Xenopus tropicalis: one gene and its partners. The protein of the gene in region 1 purifies or fractionates together with the protein of each later gene. This does not show direct contact. Links are inferred from orthologs where the notes say so. Each region holds a gene or a part of one and is shown in the gene's direction. Other genes may lie near its edges.

Region 1 (4,776 bases):
GGTAGCCTGGGGACTGTCAACATTTCTAGAGGGTTACATTACATTAATCCTAAAGGCCTACAGCTGTACAACCCTGATAAGGAAAAAATATCACGTGCACACCAAGGCCTCTATGTACTGTATGCTTGGTGCTCAGTTTATCAGTAGCTGACATTCCCCCCCAAAGAATCACTCAAAAGTAAGGCTACTGTCACACAAAGCTAATCCGAGGGAGTCTAGCCCTTAAATGTATATTAAATAAGCTATACAGTCCTGCCATGGAGAATCAGATGTCCAGCAGGGAGCAACACAGTTAAAAGTTTGCAATGTCTGAAATATATAGTCAGGGACAGCTTTTGAAATACAGTAAATAAGTATGCTTAAAAATTAATATATCTGGAGGCATATCATGATCCTGGGTCCTTTAACAAAAAATAATTTTAAGCCCTCTCCACCCTGCAAATGATCCTAAGAAGGAACAGTTTTCCCTGGCCTCCCCACAGCTGTGGGAAATTCACCCCAATAATTATATCACTGCAATATACGCTTAATGTTTTTATTGCACCTGGTGCACATTTTTTTGTACAGGCTGCCTTCTATCCTATTGCTAGGCATACACATGCCAATATTGCCACTCCTGACCAAGTCTACAGCATAATGGCTGCAACAGCCACCCCAGCTGTGATTTGACTGGAGTTTTAAAACCACTTGGCCCACCACATAGGAAAGGTATCTGCTTGTTTCGCAAATATGTCTTTATTTAGCTGTTTATTTTCTTTGGACTGCCAGAAATTACTCCCTACAATGTAGCAAAAGCTAACTGATTAACAGTTAGCAGGCCTATAATAAAGAACTAGTTTTATGGGGGTGTAATAATAAGTGAAACTCAAACAAATACAGTATATAAAGTTCATATTTGGCTTTAATTTATGGGGCCAGCCTCTAATAACTATTATCAATTTGCCTAAGTGGAGATATTTTAAACTCCCGACCTCTAGTGCCCTTGGGAGGGCAGAAACATGCACCTGTTCTTATAAAGCAACAATACCAAAAATGTGTCACGCAATAAAGACCTTAAAATGTGCGTCCTAAACCCACGTTCAAAGTGCATAATGCATGTGATAATTTAAGGCTCTAACAAGAGAATCTTTCAACTCAGGATAGACTAGAAAAAAATATAATAACACTGAAGTGCTGAGGGCGTGGCCGCCATTTTGGTGAGAACGCTTCCGCAACGACATTCGTGTGTACGTGCTTAGCTTGTGGTATACAGCCCTGTTATTACACTGTTTCTGTGTCACCATCCTATTTAACTCAATCACGCCCTAGAATATTATGGTTACACATAATAATGATGAAACCATAACTAGATTATATAAACATATAACATGGTATAAGGGGGCCCATATATCATAATTTATATCTAATTTGCAACAGATAAATAACTATAAAACTGAAATCTATCACTTGGAAAACCGCAAACCCCAAATCGCTATTTTCATTACCAACTATCCCTATAATACAGCTGATGGCAAGGCAAGCGGCAGACCTCTAGGTAAAGAAGGACTACATTTCCCAGAACTTGCCAGTAGAAATTGTAGTTCATTGACTGCTGACAATTTTAATTGGTGGCCTTCGTATTCTACGGCATAGGAAAACGCGAAAGCGAGGCGTGGGAAGCATGAAGCCACGCCTCCCAGGCGGCAATAAATGATCGTGTGATTCTAGGAGGTGTTAGTTGGCTGGGAGACATAGCTGCGAGGTGATTGAAGGTCTTGCTGATAGACGGCAGGAACATGGGGCTCGGGCTGCTTCTGCTGCCCGCGGTGCTGGCGTTGTTATGTGGGAGAGAAGCTGAGTGTACAGGTAATAAAAAGAACATCGGGGATGCCTGGATAAGCGAGACTATTAGAGAAGCCTTTGGGCACTAGCAATAGTTTGCCCTGCCATGATCCCGTTTTAGGGTTTGCTGTGTAAGGTTGTGTGGGGTATCCGCAGTCGGAGTAGAGGGTGGGGAAGGACGTGGTACAATTGAAGGGCGCCCTGAAGATCTGTTTCATCTGATCAGTTATTTCTGAGGGGGACCTAATTTTTTATTGCTGTAATGGGCTCTTGGCTGACAAAGTGGAAATCTGTTGTGCCAGATACTAAACCATGTGATGGGGTCTCTTATAGGCTGGGGAAAACCGGTATTGGCCTAGTCCGCCTCTAGTAGTGTCTGCGCCATGATTAAGGTACTTCGCTCGCCTAGGTTTTTTTTTTTTTTTTTTTTTTTCGAACACTGGGTTGTTCTTGATTCTTGTCATAGGCACATAATTTGCTTACGAATTAAAAATGCTACGAGTATAGATAGAAATAGATACTATTATATGTATAGATGAGGGACTAATTATATATATATATATATATATATATATATATATATATATATATTAAAAATTTTCATGAAAAGAGGGTATACTGATCTTTCAAGGTAAGGCTTGGAAATGGCTACTTAATAGCTGACATAAATGCTGTTTGAGCTAAATGTATTTGCCTTGTAAAGCATGCAGCTCTAGTCTTTATATTGGTGGTTCCTGAACCAGAAATGTCTAACAAGTCACTTGTATTAGTGTTTCTAGTCTTGTGTTAATTACTAAACACGTTAATGGAATTGATGGTTCCGTTTTACATTTGGCTCTTTTTTTAGTTGGTATTGGTGATTTATTTTGCTTGGTTTTGTAACTCTGCCTTATGGTATTGATAAAGTGCATAATTGCAACTTGTATCAAAGCCAATAAATGAACATGTATTAAATAAGCACCAACATTTTGAGTATATTTGTAACTGTACATGCTTTGTATATTCTACATTGTACCTGAAAGTTGGAGATGTGTAACTTTACTGCAAGTTATGCTTGTTGGTTGTAATCCTTATCGGTATGATCCCTTGTGGTTTTGTGGGGTAGGTACTGATCCCTTTTTGTGCCCTACATTCTTTCTGCAGCTGTGATGGCACATTTAACTCACTAATGGCCACCTATGTGACTGCATGCTGTGGCTGGCGGCTGGCACTTGCAATGTACATGTTTTAAATGGAAATCAGCCATACATTTAAGGTCCCCATACACGGTAAGATCCGCTCGCTTGGCGAGATCGCCAAGCGAGCGGATTTTCCCCCGATATCCCCACCTACGGGTGGGCGATATCGGGGAGCTTGAAGTTAAAAAAAAAAAATAATAATAATAATCCAATCGTTTGGTCCTGGGGCCAAACGACCGGATTATGTAGGCGGCAATGGGGCAGTCGGTTCGGGGACCGCATCAACGAGCCGATGCGGTCCCCGATCCGACTGGATTTTCTAACCTGGCCGATCAATATCTGGCCAATTTCGGGCCAGATATCGGTCGGCCAGCCCACTCGTTTCTGCCCCTACACGGGCTGATAAGCTGCCGAGTCGGTGCCAAGCTTGGCATTTAGGGTGAATACACATGGAGCTAATAGTAGCACCTACTTGTCACAGCTAAAAAAAGACAATGCTGATCATTTACTGATAACTGTATGTTTGTCTGTGTGTTTTTATCAGAGGCAATATTCAGTATTGTCTATGGCAGGCTATTTTGTGGCATTTAGTTGCCTTGACAAGTCACTGCTACAAAGTCGCTCTGTCTTCACCCTTAGGGCAGTGACAGACGGGGAGATCAGTTGCCCCGTGACAAATCTCCCCACAATGCCATCCCACTGGCAAGAATGTAAATCACCGGTGGGATGGCATAGGCATCAGTACGATTTCCAGAAGTTGCTTGAAAGTTGCCCTGAGAGGAAACTTCAGGTGACTTCTGGAAATCTCCCCGTCTGTCACTGCCCTTAGGATGAAGACACGCTGAACTACTAGTAGCAGCTAATTTTTTTTAATGGCTACTAAGCTCCCTAAAATACCCTGCCATACACCATACTGAGAATTGCCTCTGCTAACACAGACAATTATCTGTAAATTATTAGCATTGTCTGTTTTAGTAGCCATGACAAGTAGCTGCTACTAGTAGCTCAGTGTGTCTTTGCACTTAACCCTACCAGGCAGGAGATGGCTTAAATGATATAACAGAACATTGTAATAACTGGGATGGATTTTTCCAAGAAATGCAATATAAGGACTTGATACAAACCTTTTTAGGGCTTTTCTACCTAAGCAAGAAATGACGTTCATTACAAGGCGAATGTCCCCAGAGACTGTTAACACTGAACAGCCTTTGGTTCAGAATAAAATTTGCCATTTTCTCAAATTGGGTGAAAATGGTGATTTTTATCACAGGAATGGTTTAACAGCATTGTTCGTTTGTTCAGGAGCTTATTTGATGGGCCATAGAGTTGCAGTTGTTCTCGCTTCCACACCTGCTGATGCCAAATCAGGTTTTAGCAGATAAGCATTTTAGGTGTGACATATTACAAAATGTCTTGTAAAAACTGCTTTTCCAAGGTGTCATACTGGCTTAGATGGTTGTTGTATGGAAAATGGCAGTGTGGTATGATCCGGTTCTAGAAGAGGCTCAGTGTGATTTGTTTTGTACTAATGGTAGTGGTCACTGATCATTCCTTCAGAAAATATATAACAATTGTCACATGAACTGTGCAATATTTTTTTGTTCTATAAACGTACAATATAAACATTGCACTTGGTGTTTTAGGTTATAGTGGTTTGTGTTTGCAGGTAATTTGTAATGTGTGATGTGCTGGTTTACCCTAAGGTCGGGTAGTGGACTACCATTGCAAGGTTGGGTGCAGGTCAGACTGGGAGAAGTACATTATTCCTCTGCTCCTG
Region 2 (4,059 bases), on another chromosome or scaffold:
TTGTTAGTTCAGCCCTTTTTACCTCTTGTATTGGTTGCTTTCTCTGTAATTCTGTATGTCTGGTGTATGAATCCATTTATTGTACAGTGCTGCGGAATGTGTTGGAACTTTATAAATACATGTTAATAATAGAAATAAGAATTTTGGCAGGGAAGCCATATAGGAGTCATATAACAGAAATAGGTTAGAGGAACAAGGAAAGAACAGAAAATAAGGAGCAGAACTCTTTATATACCTGCATAAAAAAAAAGGTCTTAAAAAAAAAAAAGGATGTTATCTTTTGGCAAAAACTTGTTTGGTCCCCCAACATCTAAGGTATTGCATACACACACAGCTGATATTAGCTGCTAGTTTGGCTTATAAAGACTGCTGGTTATTGGCTGTTTACATGGCCAAATTGCTCGCCTTTTCCATATCTGGCTGGATATTGGATTAAAGAACCCATCAGACAAGGAATTTACGGATGTAGGTCTCTCCCAATGGGTCTGCATAAGCCCTAGTTATGATCAGTTTGTTTGGCCTCATGCATCAATGAGCTAAGGCTACTGAACTAAATAGTCCAGGAGGGGGTTTATTGTTTATTTAGAGAATGCGTTATTATATTCATTTATAAAGTGGCAACATATTCTGTAGCGCTGTACATAAGGGCACATAATTTACATGAAACATAGCAGAGCTGATAGCAAACACACTGCAGTTAAACCAGCATAATTTTATATTTATACGCATTATAAAAAAATTGAATGTAAATTCAAATGAATCGTTCTAATCTTTTATATTACCGGTCCTTTAACAATGCCCACTGTTGAAAAAACGTTATGTAAATATCATTTTACCTTTAAAGAACCACATATATTTTGAGAGTAAGTGTGCTCAGTGTGGATAATCTAGGTTATACCAGAAGAATATAAGAGGTTTAAGATTACCCACATGGCCCCAGCCACAGGCAGCCATGCTTGCATGATGAATCTGTGTTGACAGTCTGCTTGGATATGCTAGGCTTGTCCGAGAATCATCTCCATATGACTTTGGTTTTATGATGCTTTGCAGTTCATTATAGCAATGCAAACGTGACTCCCTGCATCTGTAATGCAGCACTGAATGCTCTGTAAGTATAGCGTATGCTGCCGTGTGTGCAGCAGCTTGAAAAAAGCCTAGAATAAACTCTGGGTTAAAAGTGGCCCCTTTTGCCATACTGCTTAGCAATACAGCAACTGAGACATGGTGTGGAAAATCTACAGTGTAGTTGAGTGATAAATAATGTTTTGCTCATCAATTGTTTCAGCAGTAATCGTTTAAATTGTAAAGAATGGCTTAAGTACTGGGGGTACTATATTTTGCTGAAAAGCAGACAGGGCCAGTTTACTTTTCTAGTGTGTGCAATGCTGCCATCTTGTTTCCTATCCCTGTGCCTTATAGCTGCACTGTCCCATGCTTATGCTCTATAGCAGTGATCCCCAACCAGTGGCTCAGGAGTGACATGCTGCTCACCAACCTCTTGGATGTTGGTCCCAGGGCAGCAAAGTAGGTGCTCATTTTTTAATTCCTGGCTTGAAGGCAAGCTTCAGTTGAATAAAAACCCATGTGTCTTACAAGACAGAGCCTTGTGTAAGCTGCCAGTCATCATAGGGGATACGTTTTCCATGTTTGTGTTGCTTTACATCTTGCATCTATATGTGGCTCATGGGTGAAAAGGGTTGGGGACCCATGTTCTATAGAGTAAGATTCAGCTCTTACTCTCTAAGTTCCAGTTTAACTTCACAGCACATGTGCAGAGCCCATGGCAGCTGCAAGGGATCCCTGGCACAGAAGGCAAGATGGAGGCACAGTGTGCACTAAAATTGATATAAGCGATTATAATCACTGGGGGGTGCCTAACAAATTTGCTCTCCCATCCCAAAATTAACCCTTTTTGGCACAGGCCTACAGATATTTCATATTAAGGAACTTGTGTATTATCCTGTAATAAAAAAATTTCATTTATCTGAATGTTTTTTTTCTTTTTGGCCAACAGAAAATGGCCATACCTCCGGCATATGCTGATTTAGGAAAGTCTGCCCGAGACATCTTCACTAAAGGATATGGTAAGTATCTAGAGTAGAGTCTGGCAGGGTGAGGGTTAAAGGGTTATGGATGTGTAGCCATAGTTAATGAAGCAAACAGAGCTTTCACAAAGAAGAATGGTTTCTCTGTTGTGATTGGCTTATTCTTGCTGCTGATCTATATTCCTCAGCCTAGGGCGAGACTGGCTGTTAAAACAGGCTAGATCACTCTGGCGCAGCCAGTTTTAACATGCTCAGTGCCATGATACAAGCCTGTCTTTATACTCATTGCAGAATAAATTGTGCCTACTTTCGTATAATGCAGAAATTATTTTGAGACTTTAGATCTCTTTTAATGCATTACTGCCGAAGAAAATTTTACGAATGTTTTAGTGCTGGCTTTCTTTGTAAATTCAAAAAAGGGTTGTATTTAAATCTGAAGGTATCATTGACCTTTCCTTGCAGGTTAGGTTGCTTTATTAGATTAAATTCAGCCTAAGCTTTAAAAGGGTTGTCTACCCAAAAATGTTTTTGCAAGGTGAAAGAACATTTTTGGGGTTTTATTTAAAATTTGCTGCTGAGGGTTACTAACCACATAGGATAGAAAGTTACAGCTTTTTGAAACTGCAAAGAATGATCCTGTTGTATTTTGCTGTGAATTTGTAACTTTTCTATTGATTATGCCTGTTTTTATAGTCTTCTGGTTTCTACTGTTTTTGTTGTCTTTTAGGATTTGGGTTCATTAAACTTGATTTGAAAACGAAATCAGAAAACGGACTGGTAAGTCTAAATAGGTTGCATGGCAACACTCTTGCATATGAGTGGTATCTATATTGCCTAAACAAAACATTGTCTCTGCTACAGCTTCTTTATAGTTAGTAAGTGGGCATAATACTGTTTGTAATTCCATATTTGTTACTGAACAAAATGCTGTGTAAGTTTTTATTTTATTTTATTATTGAATGGCACTTTCAAAATAAACTCATCAACCTAAAACAAACAATTCCACAGTACATTATTTGTACATGTGTCTGTATTATTGTAAAGCCACAGTCACAAGAAATTGCAACAAACAATTGCCAGTGGTTTCCAGTTTTGTGATATTTTCTATATAATCCATGTAAATTTTCCTACAGGCTGTTCTTCCAAGCTGTCATTCTGCTGTAATTGGGGACAAATGCAAGTGCAAATTATTTTAGTAGAAGATAAAGCAGTTTTTTTTATATCAAGCACATGATTGTGGTAACATCCTGTTGCTTAGTTCTTTCACATCCGCTTCTTATTACACCCTTAAAACATCACAAATCATTTCAGGTTGTTTACCTCACCTTGTGCCTTAGTGCTTTTCCATAACATTCTCTAATATTACCTGCTTGCATGGTGTTTTTGACACATATTTAACATAATTCTGTTATTAGCAGCAGGTAAAGTATATTGCAACTATTGTATATATTGCAACTAATACATGTAGTTCTGTGTACCACTATAAGCGAAGGAATCAAGTCACTTCACGTTTGATAGGCGTCAGTGAACAGAAAAAGGATTGCACCATGTGGAACCATGATTACACAACTTCCAGTAACAGAATATTGTGTGTATACTTCTCTGACTTACAGGAATTTACAAGCTCAGGATCAGCGAATGCAGAGACTAACAAAGTTGCTGGCAGCTTGGAAACCAAATACAAATGGGCAGAATATGGCCTTACTTTCACAGAAAAGTGGAATACAGATAACACATTAGGGACAGAGATCACTGTAGAAGACCAGGTAAATATCCTAATTTGAGATAATTTAACTCTGGAACTTGTGAGTAAGATATGTCTTACAATTTAAATACATAATATGTTTTCTCTTTAGCTTGCAAAGGGTCTGAAGCTGACATTTGACTCTTCATTTTCTCCTAACACAGGGTAAGAAGAATCTGCACTTAAATAACTGAGAGTTTTTAATTATATACAGCCCTCCAAGGGGAGCATGAATTAGTAGCTGGGGGACCCAGCATGAAAGATTAGGGT
Region 3 (4,635 bases), on another chromosome or scaffold:
AGTAGAAACCATGCTTTTATTTGGGTCCTGTCACACCTGAAGCTGCTTTCAGTAAGAAATTGTGTCCCATGGTCAGCTAAGGTACAAAATAGGCCACAGGCCCAATACGAAATGCCAGGCTACGATATTCACAGAGGGGTTGGCGGTAGCTAGGATTGCCACCAGCTTGGTATTATACCACCCTGGCTGCTAAAAACAATGCTTGACTGTAAAACCCATAAAAATACAGATGAAAAGGCAGGTATATTATTATTAAATATGGCAACCCTAGGGGGACCATTCAAGCGTTCGAATCCCGAATGAGAAAAATTCGGATTGGATACTATAATTTCTGAAGATCGCAAATATCACGAAAATGCTTACGAAAAAATTGTATTAGTCATGATAATATTGTATTGGTGATCCGAAAGTCACTAAATTTTCATACCGAACGATTGTAAACAGCGGGAAAACCTTTCTGATTTTTTCGCGCAAGCGTACGAAAAACTCGGCGAAAATACGCTCCGAGCGTTCATGTCCTAATAAATCTGCCCCTAGTTGTTTGCGTGTAGGTTTAGTAGGTCTTGCTTTCCTGGTAAGATAAAAAATGAAATGCTTCAAAACACCATCAATGTCAATGGGAATCACCGGTGGCCACCTGGCTTCTACATTTATAAACACACCTATCACTTTATTTTACGGTCGCCACATGGGTCACATCTGCACGTTTTGTCCCCTATTTTGTAGCTCTATAGATGGGCGTCAAAGCAGTTAAGCATTGTCCTTGTTTACCTCTTATTAAGCTCAAGCAATTATAACTAAGAGACGCTTTGGAGCAGTAATCACCTCAGCACTGAGCAGGCAAATGCCTCTCGAATTAATGGAAAGCAATTTATAATGCTGTATCGCCATTGTATGTATAACTTTATTTATAAAGTGCCACAAGGGTACGCAGCGCTGTACAGTCTTACAGAATACAAAATTACACACAGGGAGGACAAGTGATATAATAAATAAATACAATAAATATATATATCTATATCTATATATATATAAGTGCCATGTGGTATGAGACACAGTAGGAAGGAGGTCCCTGCCCCGTAGAGCTTACAATCTGAGTGGTTGGGTAACATACAGGCACAAACTGGAAGGTAAGAGTGCACCAGGTATGGGCATTTGCCCTTAAGAGCAGGACTGGGCAAAATAATGTTTCAGTGCTCCAGAAGGTAACAGCTGAGTTACAAAACGCTCAGGCGACAAAAACACTCAAAATCCCTATTACACCGGGTTTGGTTCGCTGCAGTCCACTCTCACTTTACTGCAACGCTGCAAATTTTTTTAGTGCACCTACAGAAAGAAGTATGTTGAAGGGCTTGCCAGAACTAGCTATTACACTTACTATTAGCCATTCATCAGCTATACGTTATGAAGAACGCTTTCCAGCAATGTCGTATAAAGCCACAAATGCATGCCGGATTACCCTATCCGCTGAATAGTGTTAACCCTGAGTTATAGCCCAAAGCGAAGGCAGCCACTCCCCGCGTCACAGCCGGACCGGCCCTCACCGCACCTCTACAGGCCGCGCCCAGGACTCCCGCGCTTCTGTGCCACACCTTATGAGCTCTCCTGCAGCCTACTATTGGCCCGCCGCGCTGTCAATCAGTACCATGGAACCATTCTATTGGTGTGTTTCCCTTAAACGATGCCAGGCGGGGCCAAGCTTCTCATATAATATCAGCCCCGCTTCCGTTTTTAAGCTCTTTTCCGTGGTTCTCTTGGGCTGTTTAGAGTTCAGGGGGTTAGGAAGCTGCACGTTGCGCTCACGGCAAGGCACTGTTTATTTTCATTCTGCACTATGGCTTTACCCAGGGTCTTTTTCGACATCGCCGTTGATGGCTGCCCGATGGGCCGTATTATCATGGAGGTAATGAGAGTAGACTCTTTACTGTCGGGGGAGGGGGGTGGCATTAAGTCTTGGCGCCATTTGTGAGAATGTCAGAAACTGCTGGTTTGATAGAGTCCGGTTGCACTTTCTTTGCGTGTGCCATGTTCCTGTGTGTGTGAGTGCGGCTCCCATGGGTGCTTGGGGCTAGCTGGAGCGATGGGGTGAGCCGGTCACATGACTGTAACACGATGGAATGGGCCGGGGGGGGTTCCATTGTTTGCTGCATGGTGCGGGGGCGTCACTGCGCTGCGGGTCTGGCCGTCTCCCCCAGCCCCGGGTGAATCTGCTGGCTGTATTGCAGCGTTATTCTTACCGCATACATGTTTCCTCGGTGTCACGTGATACACTAGGCTCTTGGTTGGGGGGGTAACTTGACGCCTTCTAGTCGTTAATATAAAGAAAATGACAATGTAACTGTATCACTAATGTATCATGTCCTGCTGTGCAGCGAGTTCATTCGCTGTTTGATAGTTATGGCTGTGATACATCCGCTGGGCAGCGTATTGGGCAAAATGGTCGGACTACAGCTCCCAGCATTCCTAGCGGAGGCAAGTACAGGGAGGGTAGTTCTGCCACATGTTGGTGCAAGAGCTGGGGGCTGCTGAGGGTGGCTATATATCATTTACTGTAAATATGGTACAAGTGAATGTCTGTTGCTAGGTCTTACTATACTAGGCCCTTTATTCGCTGGCTGGGAGAGCCCGCCTCCCGTGTGTCACTTCTATGGAGGGGGAGGAGGAATCCATTTTAGAAGAAATCAAGTAATGTGAAGATTTCTTGTTCTCAAAATGTCTGCTTGGTTGCTGAGCTGCTCAGCCCTGTGTTAGTGCGGGGTAGGTGTGCCCTGTGGGATGCCCCACTTGCTGGGGTGTGGGCATGGCGGGTATATTTAGTGTAGAATTCAAAGGGCTTTAATCACGCCGTGCCCTAGCGAGGAGACACCGCTCTGTGGGAAATACACCTGCTGCCTGGCCTAAAGGCTTTATGCACAAAGCCTGTCAGTGAGGGCTTATTGTTCCCTCAGGCTAATGCAGGGAGTGCTTTAGGGGCCCCAGCAGTGCATGTTGGGTGCATGGGTAATGCCATTGTGTATTGGTGCCAGGGGAAAGCTGATGTAGTCGCTCTGCATGGTTTGTGTCTAAAGGGATTGGAGCTGAGGGGCAAGTACGTGAGGTGCTGTCAGGGTTACTGTCCCCTTGGTGGCATGCAGGCCCCTCTCCCTTTCTTACTGCAGTGCCTGAGCCAGCAAATCCACATGGTGTGTATGTTATATGGTAGATATAGTGCATACTGATGGCTATATAGGGGATGGTAAATGCTTTATATTACTATGTACAGAACTGTGGCTGCATGGGTTTCTCTGTCCCAGGGTGTCCAATCTGCATGCACTTACTGCGCTTCATACAGGGGTTAAATCTGCTATTTATAGACTTATAGCGACGTAACTGAAGCCATATAAGGCATTTTCAGTTCTGCAGTCATGTTAATCCTTCCCCTGCATGAGCCTTTTTTTGCTTCACGTGGTGGTGGTCTGCCATAATCAAGCATAGGCATTGCCTTCCTGCCATCTTTGTGCCATGGTTCCCCCTCTAACACTGGTATGCAGGGCTAGCAACACTGCACCAAATGCGTTGGTCTCCTGCCTAAGCAAGGGCACGACTCCTGCTGATGTAATAAGGTTCACTTTAACTTTATTACATCTTGCACAATGAACTGCCTGGCATGCCTGTCCCCTCTCATGGTTAAATATTAATGCTCTTGCATATGCCATGCTGCATTATTAAGGGCATAAAAGCTACAGTGGGGTATCGGACAACAGAAGGTAGTTATGTGCCCTGGGTAATGCCGCCCCCCCAATCCCCCAGAAATGGCCATGTGCTGGTCAGTAATACGGATGGGTGCTGTGAGTGACCATACAAGAAGGGGCTCGGTCAGTACTGTGCATGTATGGCCAGGTTAAGGTTTGTATGCTGACGAGCAGTGCAATATAGTTACAAACCATCCGTCTAGTGGTGTCAGGCTTGGACTCTTGGCAGCAGTTTATTGTTTGTCTTCATAAAGTCTCAAGGCATCTGCAAGGGATCAACACTTCATAAATAGCCAGGAAGTGGGAGATGTGTTCTGTGCTGCAACCAGGCATCTTTGTATTCGGCACTTCCCTGTGGTGTCTACTCCCCAGTCAGGTCATGCCAGGGCCAGCCTTCTAATCTGCGTGTCCTTAATCCAGGGCTCCCCAGTCTTTTATACCTGTGAGACGGTTAAAATGTGAAAGTTGGGGAGCAACACAAGCATTAAAAATGTACCTGGGGTACCAAATTATGGCTGTGATTGGCTATTTGGCAGCCTACAGGCTGGTCTGTTTGCAACCAAAATTTGCCTCCAAGCCAGGAATTCAAATATAAGCACCTGTTTGAGGCCACTGGGAGCAAAAGCCAAAGGGTTGGTGGGTAACATGTTGCTCCCGAGCCACTGGTTGGGGGTCCCTGCCTTAACCTGAGTAGCAATCAGTCTGCCTTGTCCATCTGAGTCTGTGGATATTACCTTTACTAGTCAAATGGCATGTTTCTTTATCAAGCAGCCACATTTATGTTCTATAGCCTAAATGGCCTATGGAATGCAAGCCTATGTTAAATGGAATTAGTCAAATTATCATGGAATTTCAAGTATTGCTATAAAGGGAAAACGGTCTACAGTAGAAAAGACTAAGGTTA
Region 4 (4,855 bases), on another chromosome or scaffold:
TCTTGTTTAAATCTTTATCTTTGTGCTTATAGCACTAACAGAATATACCTTTTTATCATCATGGTGGGCTCCTTCATTATCTTGGATGGATAATGAACACCCAGAAATCCCCCAGGAGAAAAATTCAGTTTCTGGGATTTGTGATAAATTCCCAGAGAAATAGGTTTAGGGTTGAAATTTGAACAACCATTGCAGGTTTGTGTTTGGTGCAGGTCAGACTAGGGAAGTACACTATTCCTCTGCACCCAGTGTTTCTCTGTCTTGGAACCTAAGGCATGCACAGAAGTAGTGTTCATACCAGAAAGGTATGGGTCCAACTATGGCAACATTTTGTGGGTTAGGTTCGGGTGTGGGTTAAGGTTTTTATCAATGATAAAAAAGTCTTTATTAATCCATCATCAAAAGCTGGTCATACACACTAAGATTCGCTTGTTTGGCAAGGTCCCCAAGTGAGCGGATCTTCTCCTGATATCCCCACCTATGGGTGGGCAATATCGAGCTAATTCGGCTGTTTGGCCCTGGAGAATGACGGGTATAGGCATCAACCGGTTCAGGGACCGTATCAACGAGCGGATGCGGTCCCCGATCCAACTAATTTTCAAACCTGCCTGATTGAGATCTGGGTGATTGCAGGCCAGATGCCGGTCGGGCAGGCCCAGCCAATAAGCTGCCGAATCAGTCTAAGGGATCGTTGTCGGCAGCCCGTGTATGGCCACCTTAAAACAGCATTTGCCAACCTTTTATACCAGTGAGCCACATTCAAATAGAAAAAGTTTTTGAAGGCGCCAATGAGAGCCATACAGACCGGTAGCTTTCAGTGACTTTTTGCGATTTTGGCAAATTGCCTCGCGAGGCAACTTCAGCGATTTGCCGAAATCGCCTGTGCAGCGTGTATCATCCCACCAGCGACTTACATGTTCGCCGGTGGGATGGTAGTTCGGGAAGATTAGTCGCGGGCGACTAATCTCCCCGTGTGCCAGAGCCCTTAAAGGAACAGTAACATCAAAAAATTAATGTTTTAAAGTAATTAAAATATAATGTGCTGTTGCTCTACAAAAAACTGGTGTTTTTGCTACAGAAAAGCTACTGTATAAATAAGCTGCTGTGTAGCCATGGGGGCAGCCATTCAAGCTGAAAAAAAGGCACAGGTTACATAGCAGATAACTAGTAGATAAGCCCCATATAATGGGGGTTTATCTGTTAGCTGCTATGTAACCTGTGCCTTTTCGCCTTTGAATGGCTGCCCCCACGGCTACACAGCAGTTTACTTATATAAACTATAGTAGTCTTCTGAAGCAAACACACCAGTTGTAGCAATGCAGGGCAATAGTACATTATATTGTAATTACTTTTATACACTTTCATTTTTTGGTGTTTCTGTTCCTTTAAGGTACAAAGACCTAAAAACGTGACTCAATTTCACCTGGCCCTAGTTTAAACAAAAGCAGTTTGTCTTTTGGTCAAATTGGGAGACACAGCTCTAACAGCCACATGTAGTTTTGCCAACAAGAATAAATGTCTTCTTTCAGTCCCCTGCCACAGGTCCGAGCTCTGAGCAGACAATATAAATGACATCTCAGGAAATATTTGAGCAGAGGCAGGGAGAGCAGGACGGAGAACCAAGATGAAATGAAGTTCTTTATTAGTTCTTTTCTATCAATAGTAGGAGGTGCGAGCAGCAGATAACATGTTGTGAACATGCCTACCACCGCTTTCCTGCAACTTCCGATTTTGTAACGTTGAGTTATGCCGTCCCTCTCCAAAAAGTCGGCTACGTAATGCGTCACCGCGCTTACGTGTAGTCCTGGCGCAAGTCTCGCGTGATGTGACTTGTGGGCCGGGATTTCCTGTAAGACAGGAGGTACGGAGTTTGCAAATAATAGCTTAGGGACCGGTAAATAGCGATCTAGGACTGTGGGCTGTTGGGAAAAGCGGTACTGTTGGGTAGTATGTTTAAATGTTGAATTAGAAAGAGTCGGGGAGTGCTAACGAAGTAGATATTGACAAATCCTCTGTATAAACCAATTATGGACTTTATGCTACAGTAACACAGTTCTCTTACCTTTGCCAGCCGCTAGTCATTGGAACTAATGTACGATTACCTCTGCTAGGGTCACTGTGCTGCTTCTTCTAGTACCTTTCAATTCAAAATCTTATTCGCTTTAGTTCTCTGTAATCCATTACCGGTAGTGGAGTGTACCAATAATGTTAGAAGGTGACATGGACCTTAATATTTATTGGGCGCCTATTTTGCAAAACTGTGGATCCTGCATACATGCAAAGCGTAACTGTAACACCACAACTGAATTCTGATAGGGCAGAAATTGTGTTACCAAAAAGGTTCCTTTTATACCTCCCCCTTCCTTTTGGTAAACGCAGCCTTTTATTTATATGTATCAATGTTGGCCTTATACTAAGGCTCTGGTTATTTGAATTTATCCTTACACCTGACACACACACAACATAAACATATCTGGGCTCCTTCTATTGGGTGCAAGTACACATGAACTGTTTTTATTTTTTTTAAACTAATTTCAATTTTTATCTTTATTTTAGTCACCCATGGCAGTCAGTATGGCATCCCAGTTCTTCTCCCAAGAGGAGGGGACATCAGAAGTTGTATCCACATCTGAGAGGGTAAGAGTGTACTGTACAAACTGGATGTATAACTGGAGATCTATTGGCGATGATATAATTTCATTTAAAGGGTTACAGTGATATATTGTTTTAGATTCTGGTACCTTGTGATTGGGAAGGGGTTGTTAACCTTTGAGTTAACTTTTATTATGCTGTAGAGAGTAATATTCCAAGACAGTTTGCAATTGGTCTTCATTTTCTATTATTTGTAGTTTTTTAATTATTTCAGTGTTTGTTCAGCAGCTCTCCAGTTTGATTTCAGCAGCTATCTGGTTGCTAGGGTCCAAATTACCTTAGCAACCAGGGAGTGGTTTGAATGAGAAACAGGAGTATGAATAGGACTTGAATAGAAAAATAAGTTATTAAAAGAAACAGTAAAATTGTAGCCTCACAGAGCAATAGTTTTCTGGCTGCTGGAGTCAGTGATCCCCATTTGAAAGCTACATGGAGTTAGAAGAAGCTCTGTAGAATACAATAGTGTTTTATCTGTTATCTGCTAAGTGCCTGTGCCTTTTCTCCTTTGAATGGCTGCCCCCATGGCTACACAGCTGCATTCTTTATATAAACCATAGTAGTGATTCTGAGGCAAACACAGTTTGTACCAGTGCAGAGCAGCAGTACATTATATTGGAATTTCTTTTATACACTTGAATTTTTTGGTTACTGTTCCTTTAAATGAGATCCTGGAATATGAATAGGAGAGGGACTGAATAGAAAGATAAGGGAAAAAAGTAGCAAGAATATTAAAACTGTGAGCTCACAAAGCAATAGTTTTTGGCTGTCGGTGTTAGCGACCACCATTTCAAAGCTGGAAAGATGTAGACATGGAAGGTAAATAATTTGAAAACGATAAAAAATGAAGACAAAGGAGCTCCTCATCTTGGATTTTGTTAGATGTGTATGTGACACATGTTAAGTGTGCTCTAGTCAGCTGTTAAAGAATGTTAACCTTTAAATGAATATGAAATTGATGAGAGCTTTAACCCCATTATCCACTTAGAGTGGGGCTACTTCTTAATTCCCCCCCCCCCTTTTTTTTTATTTTCTTCTCTTTTAAAGATAAATGCTGTTTAATACGAAATTGCTTTATTCTGACATCCACTCTATAAAAGTTAAAATGCAAATAAAAATTATTGAAAAGAAATTGATGAGAGCACTATTCTAAGCACTTTTGCACTTAGCATTCATTTTTTCCCCAAGATTTGAAGATATTAAGGAGAATGTGTACTGTTAATTTGAATTCATTTTGTAACAACAGCACTAGCTGCTGGTCTGTTTCCTCCTCTGATGTAGTCAAGGAAATTATTAGGTGAAAGATGGTCGAACATAACTTCTCTTACATCTTTCCAAACATCATCATTTTAATATAATCTGGTCCTCAAACATGAAAATGAGAAATTATTGGCCAACTACATTTAATAAATTAGACAGGACTGCTGTAGTAGAAATCACTGCATGGGCTTAGGACTGCTTCCTGAAAATGATTTTGTGTGAACATGGTTAGTCATTGCATCCACAAATACAAGTTAAATCTCTACCACGCAAAAAAGAAATCATAAATAAACTTGATCCAGAAAAACAGCAACTTTCTCTGGACCCAAGCTTATTTAAGATAAACTGAGTTGAAGTGGTGAAGGCTGATGTGATGTGTCCTGTGGTCTGATAAATCAAAATTTAAAATTCTTTTTGGAAATCATAGATGGTGATCATAAATGGTCCTTCTTTTGGGCTAAAGAGAAGGACAGCCCTGCTTGTTATAAGCACACAGTTTAAAATCCAGCATCCATGATGGTATGGGGGGTGCATTAGTGCACACAGAATGGGTAGTTTGCACATCTTGGAAATTATGTTGAAAGATATATGCAGGTTTTAGAGCAAACTATGCTGCTATTCCGATTATGTTTTTTTTTTTTAGGGAAGACCTTGCCTGTTCCAGCAAGACAATGCCAAACTGCATTCTGCATGTGTTACAACAGCAGTCTAACCCTGTCACCCACTGAAATTTTGCACAGTATGAAATAAAAAATACAACTGCTGAGCAGCTGAAATCCTATATCAGGCAGGGGTTGTTAATAGAAGAGGTGATGCAACACAGTGGGAAACATGCCCCAGTCTCAACCTTTTTAGAACTTGCTGCTGGCATTTAATTCAAAATGAATTTGTCATGTTTAATGGGTAAATCTTACAGCTAACCAGGAACACACTGTAGAATTTACCA
Region 5 (4,059 bases), on another chromosome or scaffold:
GCTTTTTCTGTATAATAGCTGCCCATTATACAGCACCCCCTTTTTATTTGTTGCCTATTTAGCTGCATGATTCCTCTCAACCTTTTGATTTGTCATTTTTCTGCATTTCTGATTTCTTGCCTACATTCATACACTTAAGCAAGGTGTTATAATCCAATTGTTGTATACCACATTGCAACCTTGTATCATAGGAAAAGTAATTTTCATCATAATAAACTATTTTTCAGTGGGTCAGTTATTAAAACAGATGAAAGTGATATGAAGCCACTAAAAGAATATTACAATATTTTATGGTGATTGTTTTTTTTTTTTTAAAGAAAAAAATCACCCCTTTCTTTAAATCCCTATTGGATTTTTAGACAAGTATTTATCAATGGGTAAAAGTTGGAGTTTACCATTTTATAAATATGCTTTTAAAATGCCATAAAACTAATAGAAATGGGGGGGGGGTTCTGTCATTAGCTTACTATTTTTATATAACAAAGCTTTTAAACATGTATTTGATTAGATTATGATCCCGCAACTTGAAAGACTGAAGAAAGGTCTACTCTACAAGAAAAAATATGATTACTTTGAACAAACTAAATGTAGTGGATTGCTTGTGTTTAGTCAGTTAAGGGGATATTCAGGTTTTTAAGCCATATTCTTAAACAACCATTTGTTTCATATAAATCAAATTTTTAATTTATTATCGTTGAAAATATGTATCGTTTTTAGTTAGACGCCTAGTTATTTAGCGAATCAAAGTGAAACAGTCCTACAGGTGCGGATGCTCTCTACGAAGTTCGGAATATTGCAGCACAATTAGACGACAGTGCGCAAGAGCTTCCTTTTTATGGTCATTTGCATATCAGTGACCTGATTTGCAGTTGTTAGCAGCTACTTGGATAAAGGACATGCATATAAACATGAAGAAAGAGGGTTATGTGCAACATTGCCGCAACATTGGGCTACAGATTTACAGCATTCTGAATAACCAACAGGAGGCAGAGGAGTGCTGACACAGCCAGGGTGTCAACAATCCCATGCAGAGTTGGTTTGAAGAAATACTATGGGACTACGTATGTTTTTAATGACAGAACTTTGCAAATATGTTTTACATAAAGAAACTGATTGTTTAACATTGTGTCTTGTAAAGGTGACATCCCCTTTAAGTTTTTTATTTACACACAATACTTACTACTCTGCAAACAAATGTTTTGTTCCCTAACTCTTTATATCTTTTCCTTTAGATAATAATTGTGGAGTTTGGAGGAAAGCCATTCAGTTGCTCTGGCCTTACTTTGTCACAGTGGTTCTGGTGTATCTTCATTGGGGTTGGAGAGCTGTTGTGGGGACAGGTTGGTGTGTCTCTAATGTGTTTTTGTAGCATGCCATTCCATGCCAGGTACCACTACATCATATAGCGGCATTCTTGACGTGTGGCATTTTTGACATGTGCTTCCTAGTGTGGGGAGGGCCCATTCCTGTTTAAACAGTATAAAAGCATTATGTGAAAAGTAAGGTCTATACAGAAGTGGTTTGCTGAAATGGAGTGGAGGATCTTAACTGGCCTGCACAGACCCTTAACCCAAGAGGACACAGGTGGGATGAAATAGAATGGAATGGAAATTAAAGCTCAGCCTGGTAACTGAACATTGCAGCTCAGCCACTTACATTTAAATCTCCACCAAGAGCAATGGTTAAAGTTTCTTTTGACAGCAAAGAGAGGACCAATTTCTTATTAATACCCTTTGTTTTGTATTGGATGTTGGACTGTTGGGTGTCCACATACATTTGACGATATAGTATACCCTCATATCATTCATAACTTTTAATACAGCTTTTTATTTGCGCCTTCTTTTTTTTTTCTCTGCTTACTATATATAATTTCCTTAATACTACAGATGATTTGCACAATACCCACCAGCCGACTCAAGTTCCTAAAAGAGGCTGGCCATGGGCCACTGAAGGAGGACATTCAGCAGGAGGAACTTACAGAGGATGTAGATGAGATTGACCATGCAGAAATGGAGCTTAGGAGAGGCCAGATTTTGTGGTTCAGAGGCCTAAACCGAATACAGACTCAGGTATATACATTTTATGACCTATGCCTTTGTGAAGTCCATGGTATAAAAAGATAGACATAACATGGAAAATAGGAGATCTCACAAACATTGATGGAGGAATTTCTACATAAACCAAATATTGTGAAAACCCTACTACACCTTGTATATTAGTAGCCACCCCTAAATTATTAAATGTTGCAGAACAAAGTTGTTACAACTCCAATATATTCACAAAACCCACAGACAGGGAAGAACCACATGATACAAAATATTTAGAATATGCTATCTTTATATATTACCTTTTATTATTGTATTTTATTGTGGGAAGTACATTTTACCCCTATCTGACGATTTAGTGCTAAAATGCTTGCCTTTGCTCGGGCGCCTTTGAAGGCTTGATCTTTGAGACAACCGATATTCAAATCCTTTGCCAATATTGATAACCTCGTCTTCTGCCATACACACACCAAATATTGTAAGAAACAAAATATTGGTGCATGTATGGCTACCTTTAGAAAATGAAATAAAAGATCTGAATGGTTGCTATGGGCAACATCACTGGTGACTCCAATGTTAGTACACACTCAATTGTCAATTGCTTCCACCAGCAAACTTGATATCCAAGATATCTACATTAATGTTCGTATATATTTATCTGAGCCATCAGTCTTATATAGCCTGTCCGCAAACAAGCAAGCTTCATCCCAAGAAAGAAGATATGTTATTAATTGAGCCTTCACTTATTGCCCTATTTTCATTGTTTGGGCAACATAAATCTGAATGTAAATCTGTTTAAAAAAAATTCAACATATCCATGTTAACAATCTATTTCAGTATCATTAAAAAAAGTAGCTTTTGGCAGAGAGCCCATAAAGTTAACAAGCCACACTTGATCTTAGATACAGTTGTAAATAATAAGCTTAACAAGTCTCTTGGGGAAACTGAGACTTGCAGCTCAAAGGGCAATTTCACCTTTTTTAGCAAAACTGTAATATCACAAAACAAGACCACAAAACCCCCAGAAATGAGTTCAAACTTTAAAAAACCTGCCAAATTTTGTAAAATGCGAGTGGTATTTAGGCTGTGTGGGTGCAAAAATTAGCGTTGTCAAAACATTTTTGCCACGCTGCAAGCAGCATTTCCTTTTGTCCTTCTTTGCATTTTTTAAATGTTGGGAGGTATGAGTATTATGTCCTTTAAAAAAGAAAAGATCAAATTAAGATATTTCAGCAAATACTTGTGGTGTAGTATTTATACTTACACAAATCCCTAAAAGTACTTTTGCCACTTGAAAACAAAATAAATTGTCCTGGATCTTTTCTACAGATGCAGAAACATCCACACTTATCTGGTCAGACCAAACATTGCTTTTTTTGTGGTGTTTCTCAAAATGTGGTGTTTCTCAGTCTTTTTCTCATACCCTTTTTGTTTTATGTGAAATTTTTGCAATCAGTGTTTCTGTTTCCTGGGACTTCAGTCAGTGTGTGTGGAACACACTAATTACATCTGCACCTGTAAGTCACTGGTTTAAAAATGTGTTTTGGCTTTTTTTAACTCCTTACATTGTAAATGAATATGTACACATTGCCTTCAGATGCCTTATTTTAAAGGAAAATGGTTGCTTCTTAAAGCATTTTTTCCTGAATAGATATGTTGTAGATCTATTTCAGCTGACTAAATGAGGGAGTGTGTCATTTAATGGGAAATGCTTTATTCTAAAAGCTATTAGGGTTTAAAGTAGTATTTTTGTCAATATGCAGCTGCTTACTGTACTATGTCTTACCAGTTTAACCAGGAAGATCTTTTTTACAGGCTTTGGGAAAATAGCTACACAAGATTTGATTTTTTGATAAGAACTTGGTGCTGGGAAATGGAATTACTTTTGAATTAGCATCTGCAGAAAAAAACATACCTCATATTATCTGGAAGAGCTATTTGCTTTTTCTTTAAATAGGAGCAATTTAATGTCATTTTAATGTTTTTAGGGTGTAATAGTTTGCCATAAACATCT

Evidence for each region.
Region 2: the proteins of bsg (region 1) and vdac1 purify together in Homo sapiens (affinity purification with mass spectrometry; 3 studies listed by BioGRID, with this or other methods). This does not show direct contact. The link is inferred for Xenopus tropicalis from reciprocal best matches to the Homo sapiens genes BSG and VDAC1.
Region 3: the proteins of bsg (region 1) and ppia purify together in Homo sapiens (affinity purification with western blotting; 4 studies listed by BioGRID and IntAct, with this or other methods). This does not show direct contact. The link is inferred for Xenopus tropicalis from reciprocal best matches to the Homo sapiens genes BSG and PPIA.
Region 4: the proteins of bsg (region 1) and sympk purify together in Homo sapiens (co-immunoprecipitation; 3 studies listed by BioGRID and IntAct, counting the BioPlex papers as one, with this or other methods). This does not show direct contact. The link is inferred for Xenopus tropicalis from reciprocal best matches to the Homo sapiens genes BSG and SYMPK.
Region 5: the proteins of bsg (region 1) and plasma membrane calcium-transporting ATPase 4 purify together in Homo sapiens (affinity purification with mass spectrometry; 3 studies listed by BioGRID and IntAct, counting the BioPlex papers as one, with this or other methods). This does not show direct contact. The link is inferred for Xenopus tropicalis from reciprocal best matches to the Homo sapiens genes BSG and ATP2B4.

Annotation. Positions count from the first base shown.
Region 1 is NC_030677.2:105,652,646-105,657,421, forward strand, and holds the start of bsg (basigin precursor), read left to right. Parts: upstream 1-1,744; 5' UTR 1,745-1,775; coding exon 1,776-1,845; intron 1,846-4,776.
Region 2 is NC_030679.2:22,883,547-22,887,605, forward strand, and holds part of vdac1 (voltage-dependent anion-selective channel protein 1), read left to right. Parts: intron 1-2,014; 5' UTR 2,015-2,017; coding exon 2,018-2,084; intron 2,085-2,772; coding exon 2,773-2,822; intron 2,823-3,658; coding exon 3,659-3,811; intron 3,812-3,901; coding exon 3,902-3,954; intron 3,955-4,059. UniProt on the Homo sapiens protein: Non-selective voltage-gated ion channel that mediates the transport of anions and cations through the mitochondrion outer membrane and plasma membrane.
Region 3 is NC_030679.2:126,270,772-126,275,406, reverse strand, and holds the start of ppia (peptidylprolyl isomerase A (cyclophilin A)), read left to right. Parts: upstream 1-1,751; 5' UTR 1,752-1,834; coding exon 1,835-1,903; intron 1,904-4,635. UniProt on the Homo sapiens protein: Catalyzes the cis-trans isomerization of proline imidic peptide bonds in oligopeptides.
Region 4 is NC_030684.2:70,980,334-70,985,188, forward strand, and holds the start of sympk (symplekin), read left to right. Parts: upstream 1-1,779; 5' UTR 1,780-1,861; intron 1,862-1,865; exon of another isoform or gene 1,866-1,934; intron 1,935-2,062; exon of another isoform or gene 2,063-2,289; intron 2,290-2,556; 5' UTR 2,557-2,562; coding exon 2,563-2,637; intron 2,638-4,855. UniProt on the Homo sapiens protein: Scaffold protein that functions as a component of a multimolecular complex involved in histone mRNA 3'-end processing. Specific component of the tight junction (TJ) plaque, but might not be an exclusively junctional component. May have a house-keeping rule.
Region 5 is NC_030678.2:70,209,996-70,214,054, reverse strand, and holds part of plasma membrane calcium-transporting ATPase 4, read left to right. Parts: intron 1-1,232; coding exon 1,233-1,340; intron 1,341-1,886; coding exon 1,887-2,069; intron 2,070-4,059. UniProt on the Homo sapiens protein: Calcium/calmodulin-regulated and magnesium-dependent enzyme that catalyzes the hydrolysis of ATP coupled with the transport of calcium out of the cell. By regulating sperm cell calcium homeostasis, may play a role in sperm motility.